Linked DNA regions of Notamacropus eugenii. The protein of the gene in region 1 purifies or fractionates together with the protein of each later gene. This does not show direct contact. Links are inferred from orthologs where the notes say so. Each region holds a gene or a part of one and is shown on either strand. Other genes may lie near its edges.

Region 1 (3,750 bases):
TAAATGTTCACATTAAAAATTCAACAATCAGACCTGAGCTGGTTCCAATATACCCTTGATACTAGGCTACAGTTTAGAGTAGTGGTTGGTACCTCCTCCCCTCCTAGTATGCATGCCAAGTTTATACTGTTAGGCTTCTATAATTCTAGATTATTCATCAATTTCTTGAAAGTGGGTTTTGCTTTCAGGGGTAGAAAGTTCAAATTTTAGGAGTTTCTTTCATTCAAGTTAAGAAAGTGATTTTACCCTACTGTAGTTTCCTTGCATGAGACTGACAGCATCAGATTTGTCCTTTAGAAATATCAATTTGGCTGCTCTCTGGAGGATGGATTGGAAAAGGTCAACAATGGAGACAGGAAGGCTATTATAGCAATCCAGGAGAAATGATAAGGTATGAATTTGGGTGGAAACTCTATGAGCAGGAAGAAGGGCACAGATAGGAGATTTATTGTGGAGGTAAAATTGATAAGACTTAGCAAATGATTGGAGAGGGAGGGACAAATTAGTGCCATTCACTCAAGTTATTAGAATGAGGGTTCCCTAGGTTTAAGGAATTTGAAAACATAGAAGAGACTTGATCAGTTTGTCCTACTCGTTTCAGTTCCTTCATTTGGTGGTCATTATCTGTCCAGATGATTGTGTGACAATCTCCACTAGGGAAGGAAAAAGTAAATTCATATAAAAGAATTATGTGTTCAAGGGAAATTTATCAAAGAATATTCTTCACAGCTAGCTGGAGATGGGAGTGCGTTGCTGCAGGCTTCCAAATCTACAACTTAACAAGGGCAAAGGCATTGGTGGCTCATTAGAGGCAGCTAGGTAGCATAGTGGGCAGAGTTCCAGACCTGGGATCAGGAAGACCAGAGGTAATATTATTTTCTAATGGCTTTAATATGAGGTCTACTTGTTTTCTTTAACCTTAAGTAGACTGTTTTGAGCCTCATGAGTCTCTGTGCTTGTAAGGGGAGTTGGTGACCAATAAAATAGGTGATATTTAAATAGTGCTTTCAAGTGCTTTGCAGAGCAAGCTCTTTACATATATTTATCAGCTCTGATTCTCCTAACAGCATTACAAGGTAGATAGGTGCCAGAGATATCAGGCCCATTTTGCCAGTGAGAAAACTAAGGCTCAGTGAAGGGTTAAATGACTTGCCCAAAGTCCCAGAGCTAGGAAGTTAATTTGACTTGCTTAGTTTATTACCATAGTACATTCTTCCCAAAGACACTTATCTTAGCTCATGAAGCCAGGGCTATGCATACGGCAATGCTGTATTTCAGGAATTGTCGGTGTACATACATGAAAGCCTCTCAGTAGAAGTGACTGACCTGCAACATATTTCTAAGACTCACACTCTTTGAAAAGGTCTTACTCACTCATGTAAAGGAATAGGGGGAAGGGGAGGGAGAGTTTCCAACTTCTCCTTTTGAGATCTCTAATGTAAACAAACAATGAAAAGACTATAAAGAGTGCAGTAGTTTCTACTCTGATGTGCAAGCAAAGGCTACCTATGTTGACTGGGCATGCTCAGCTCTGACAGTTTCAGTTCTCAATAAGGGATAAAGAGAGGAAGACATGAGAGTGAACCAGGACACAGCTGATCCTAACAGAGCCTTGAACTTGAAAAGCAGGGCCAGGATAAAGGTAGGGGGGTACCTGGGAAAGTAGTATTAAGAATGGCTGGTATTAGGCGTTTTCATATCAGCTGACCGGCTGAGTGAACTCTGTACCCAGTGTGTCTCCGCTCCCCTCTGCTTCTCCACTCTTCACTATTCAGTTTCCCACCTGGAAATCTTTCCATGTAATTTAACAAATTATATGAAAAAACTCATGATCTTCTGATGAATAGTCTGATTCTTTATGCTTTCATCCCTAACAGGACTGTGTTTATTCTGTCCTTTGGGTTGGTTGTGGGCCATATAGTTCGTACAAAGAAAGAGAAAAATCAGTTCCTTAGGGGTGAATAACCAAGCTACCCTGCCCCTGCATGACTTCTTAAAGTTAATTTAAAACTTCCTGGAACGCACCTCACCTAGTTGGGAGTGAGCTAAACACAAAGCTGCTTTGCAATGGTTTAGTATCTTTTCTGTATTACTCTGTTTCCAGAGACCCTAGCAACTTAGCAGAATAATATAAGATGGCATTTGGTCAAATGGAGCTTAATAAAAATGTGTAAGTGCAGGAAGACTGTATGTGAAAAGGAGAATATTTGTGTGCCTTTGGCTCTCTCTGTATCTGGGAAGCGGATGACAGGGTAAAGGGTGGAGGTTAGAAAGACAGTAAAGCCAAGCATCCTGGCAAGATCAGGGGACCTGACTTTCATTCCAGCCTGTGATCCTGACTAGGTATATAATCTTTCCCAAGTTACCCGCCTTCTTCTGAACCTTGGTTGCTTCATCTCTGAAATGAGAGAATTAGGCTATTTGATCCCCCAGCGCACTTTCAGCTCTGATATTCTGTTTCTGTGAAAACATACAGTAGCTAACCCAGTGTTGAGCGCATGATTCCAGTTAGACTTTGGACCAGGACAAGATAGGACAGTGGGTCCAGGACCACATAATCAATCAGTCAATCAATATACATTTATTAAATGCCTACTATGCGCCAGGGGGGTTTCTTACTTAACTTGTAGTGTTCTAAATAGTCAGGGGTGTGTGGGCTGGGGTAGGACGGTGAGAAAATATCAGAGAGGATTTTGAGGATTGTGAAAGGACTTTAAATGACATCAAAAAAAGACATGTAACCAAGCATTTGGCAAATATTTCTTGCATGCCTACTACACGGTAGGTACTATGGAGGCTAGAGAGAAGTATAAGAGATGAACATTGCTTTTGAGTAGATATTAACTGAGCATTAAATGTCCCTGATGTTACAATATTGAGATATATGATCATTTTTGCCTTCAAGATGCTTACAGTTTCATTGAGAAAATGAAGCATACCTAATAGAGTTACAGAATCTCACAGATAAAAGGTATCCCAGAGGTCACCTAGTTCAATCTACGGAAATGTAGAAATCCTCTGTATAATGTCTCTAACCAATGACATCTCCTTGAAATTCTCCACTTAGGGTGAATTTATTGCTTCTTAAGAGAGCTCATCCTCTTTTTAGGTGTCTCCATCAGAATTTTTTTTCACTATACCAAGCCTAAATTTGTCTCTTTGAAACCTCCAGTCCTCTCCTAAGTCTCTACTGAGACCAAAAAGAGCAAGTCTAATCGTTTTCTAGATTTACATTCTTTCAAATACTAGAAGAGATCAGTCATGTCCCGCAAGACTTCCTCAAATCTCCCATTCTCCAGGGAAATAGGTCTAGTTCCTTCAAATAACTTTGGTACAGAAGGGAGGAGAGTAAATAAGTGTTCATATGCGGTGTATTATGTGCCAGGCACAGTGCTAAGCGCTTTGCGAATAATATCTCATTTGCTTCTCACAACAACCCTACAATGTAAGGGATATTATTATCTCCATTTTATAGCTGAGGAAAATGAGGCAAACAGAGGTTAAGTGTGTTGCCCAGTGTCACATAGTAAGTGTCTGAGACTTAATTTGAACTCAGGTCTTCCTGACTCCAGACCCAGAGCTCTATCTACTCTATCCACCAAGCTGCCTTAACTGAACACTCTTCAATCCCTTTCCCATTCTGCCTGACTTCTTAAAGATTTATTCCAGTCTGTTTATGTCCTCAAAATATAATATCTAGAACCAAACCCAAAATTCCAAATGAGTTTTGACTGGAGCACAGCAGGGCAG
Region 2 (3,750 bases), on another chromosome or scaffold:
CCCCACTCACTGACCAGTGCTGACCTACTTTATAGGGCAACAGACAAAGAAGACATATTGCCAGCAATAGCCTCACAACTTTATATTATCTCACCATTCTATCTCACTGCACAGTTGCAGTGGATATTTACAATTTTAAACACAAATGTTTATAGTTTTTTTATCATTATGTAATGCTGTTCAAGTGTGGTGAAGATCTTTAAAAGTCATGAGCCTAGGAAATAGAGATTGTTATGGCCATGGATCCTGGGAAAATAAATGGTAAGACTTAAAGGTATTATTTTAAGTTATTTGTGAGAGGATTTGGGAAAGCCAGCTAGTTTTTTTGCTTTATTTCACCATCTTCCCACAATTCCCTTGAAAAGACATCTCACAGTTGTAGGCACAGTACCTGGCATATAGTAGGTAATTAATATGTGCTTACTGATTGATTAATTATCACTTCTCAGAAGTCAAAGGCATCTCAAATTATTATAGGTAGGATGTTCCTTTGATAAGTCCTTGAAGAGAAACAGAAAATCATTAAAAACATGCAAACACACAAATTTCTCTGCAGATTTGTTGCATCTATCACTATTTCAGGTGAATTCTCACAACAGATTCTTATCCAGCAAGTCATTGCCTAGCAGGGTCAAATGTCCTTAAGCATGTGCTAATAAGTCTGTATCTGTGTTTTTTGGCTTTCTTTGTATCCTCAGAACTTGGTATGGTTCCTGGCACTAAGTGGATGATTATTGACTAACTGTCCTCTGCACATGTATGCATGCATATACCTAAGTTTTATCAGAAAAAGACTCAACCAACTTGGCATTTAAAAATATGTTTAAAGATTTAGGCCCTTTAATTGCCCCTCCCATCCAGACCGGGGAGACAATAATTACAGCTGAGACTCTTTCTAGTCCCTTGGGAAATTACCAGGCAAGCAGATAAATATGTGTTCCAAATTTCAATACCCCTGCCTCACCCCCCCACACCCTACAAGCTGAACTTCCTTGTTTACTTATTTAGAACCCAGCAAAGGAAGTGGTAAAGGAAACGAGCTAGCTGGTTTTCTGAGAAGAAACCATATTTGTTCGTAGAGGAAGCCGTTGGAGTCTAGGCTACAACTGCCTTGTAATGCAGACACCAAGTCATCTCATCTTATGAAGGAGAACTAGGTGCTGCTGGAAAACTCAGAATCGCTGACTTTCACTATTGTCTCTGTCAATGGGTATCCCACTCATGGCCTGAGTCTGTGGGTCCTCCAAACAACTAGACAGAAATGGCTTTGAGCAATGTACCCTACCGGTCCGAGGTCCTGGGCTGGGGTCCTGATGAGCTGGCAGAATACTTCAAGAAGGTGAGTTTTTCTTTTTCTTTCCTTTTTGGTGAAAGGATCTTTCCCCTGGAGTGCAAAAGGATGAGAACTGCTTCCCAGCGGAAAAAATTACCAGATGATCATGGTCAGGCTTTTAAGATAATCAGTCATGGGTCCTTTTTTCCTTGAATTCTAGGCTTGGACTGGATTTGATTTCTGAGAATTCCTGAGAAATTTCTGAGAAATCCCTAGCCAGCCAATCCCCCCTGATAATCTTCTATTTGATTTGACATCATACAAATGTCAATGCAAGGGAATGCTCTCTGAAGTATTCCAATTCTCTTCTTAACTGAAGACTTTAAAAATCATTCCTGGGACATGGGGGATCCTAACATTTCAGAGCCCAAAAAGATCATCCTGTTCAATGTCCTAATTTGACAAATGAAGAAATGAGGCCCAAAGAAGAGAACAGATGACTTATATAAAGCCACAGAGTTAATTAGTGGCAAAATAGGTTCTAGTAGCCAAGTTTGCTGAGTTCTAGTCCAGGTTTCTAATAAGCTGTGAGGGAATGAAAGATTTAGGGGGCCAGGTAAGGACAGAGAAGTGCATATTCTGGGTGGGGGAAATTTTACTCCAGGGATCAGTGAAGGTACTGGTAACAGCTACTGGTGACTCTGACCTTCCAAAATATGGCAGCCTCTCACATCCAGCGGCCAAAGCCAAGTAACAATGAGAACCAAGTAATTTTCAAACCAGCCTTCAGGTTCAAGGTTTGGGAGTGATCCTGGAGCCAGCAGAGTTATTAGAGGCATGAGAGAGTAGAACCTGGGTTGTTCTAATCATAGAGAGGAGAGCAGAAGAGAGGAGGGGAAGCAACATTTCCTAATGAATCAGTAGGAAAAGACTTCCTAAGACTCCCCCTCAGAAGAGAAATTCATTGATCATCAAATGAGGTAATATATGTAGAGCATTTTGCAAATATTAAGGTGCTCTACAAATGTGAGCTGCTATTACTCACCTCCCTTAATTCCCTAGATAGGAGGGCCAGGAAAATGGAGGAGCTTCATCTTCCTGTCTAATTGCTTCATTGGTTTAGTTTTTCTTCCCCAACCGAGTAGCAACCTTGAAAGATGGGACTACATATTCTGTTTCTTGGCAATCCCCTTTCTTACCTATCATATCCCACAAAGTCTATGGGGCAGGAGCTCTATATTTTTTGATTAACTTTCACTGAAGAAAGTAGAATCAAAATGACCTCTAAGACCAGAGTGGTCCATAATCCATAGATGAGGAACTAGAAGATCTGACCTCCACCTCTACCCATAACTTGCTATGTGACATTGGACAACCTTCTTCCCTTTCTGGGCCTTATTTTTCCAATCAATAAAATGGGAGAGAGGGTAAGCTCAAATTTTCAAAATCCCTTTTATACATTTCTTTTCTGAATGGAGCTTAATGGGAGCAAGATTTTTGCTTTCTTGACTCTTGTTGGTAGGACTCTCAGTTTACATCTCTAGAATTAAAGTCGCCTAGGCCTAAACCAGCACTATGCAAAGACCCTTCAGTTACTAACAATAAGTTAGAAGGATCCAATATTATTTTCCCCAGAATGCAGGGATACCAGACATTATCAGGCAAAGTCCTTGAGGACGTGAAAGCTTAGCCAGAAAGTTCAGTCTTAAAGAGCTAGTAAGGCAGTGATGCCAATATTCTATCTATGACTTTATGTGATAGCAACCTCTTTCTTCATGGACTGGACTTCCAACCCTTTGCAATGAAGAACTACCCATAGCAGCAGTCTGAAAGCTTCTTATAGCAATCTGAGTGGTGGCAAGTCTCCAGCTTTGGGGGAAGAGAGCAAGTTCTGTAGCCGATTCCCCCATTGGAAGGCTCCTAAGGTGATCTGAAGATGGAGGAGGGGGTAGCAAAGGACAATTCTCTCCTGCTGATGACAGTGTTCTTCCCTTTGTGTTGGCAGCTTAACTACAAAGACTGTGAGAAGGTAGTGAAGAAACACCTTATAAGCGGTCCAAGGTTTCTGGTAAGTATGGCCAGTTACGTAGCTAGATTTCTCTTTGAAATTAGAATATCTGAATGCTCTTCTCCCTGCTGCCCCACCCCACTGGTTTCACAATACAGTGATCCTGGACCAAGCTGAGGCAAAATGGAGAAGTAGGAAAATTTTGTTTTCAGTGCCCTCATCCCAACTCCACTCCGAATCAGTATCATTGGTTCAGTGCCCAAAGTATGCTCTCACTCTCTGTCAATCTCTCTGTCTCTGTCTCTCTCACTCTCTCTGTCTCTCACTCTTTCCTACTCTCCATCTCTCTGTCTCTGCCTATTTGTCTGTTTCTGTCTCTGTCTCTGTCTCTCTTTCTCTCAAATTCCACTTTCAAATCTTTCATTCATACTAAGGTATAACCAACTGATAATGACTAAACCAGATAGGT

What was found. Proteins that work in one complex are often made in the same cells at the same time.
Region 2: the proteins of FYB1 (region 1) and LCP2 purify together in Homo sapiens (co-immunoprecipitation; 6 studies listed by BioGRID and IntAct, with this or other methods). This does not show direct contact. The link is inferred for Notamacropus eugenii from reciprocal best matches to the Homo sapiens genes FYB1 and LCP2.

Annotation. Positions count from the first base shown.
Region 1 is NC_092875.1:421,214,790-421,218,539, forward strand, and holds the start of FYB1 (FYN-binding protein 1), read left to right. Parts: upstream 1-1,488; 5' UTR 1,489-1,573; coding exon 1,574-1,642; intron 1,643-3,750. UniProt on the Homo sapiens protein: Acts as an adapter protein of the FYN and LCP2 signaling cascades in T-cells. May play a role in linking T-cell signaling to remodeling of the actin cytoskeleton. Modulates the expression of IL2. Involved in platelet activation.
Region 2 is NC_092872.1:401,764,703-401,768,452, reverse strand, and holds the start of LCP2 (lymphocyte cytosolic protein 2), read left to right. Parts: upstream 1-1,065; 5' UTR 1,066-1,261; coding exon 1,262-1,339; intron 1,340-3,278; coding exon 3,279-3,341; intron 3,342-3,750. UniProt on the Homo sapiens protein: Adapter protein primarily involved in signaling pathways within T-cells, as well as other immune cells such as platelets, mast cells, and natural killer (NK) cells.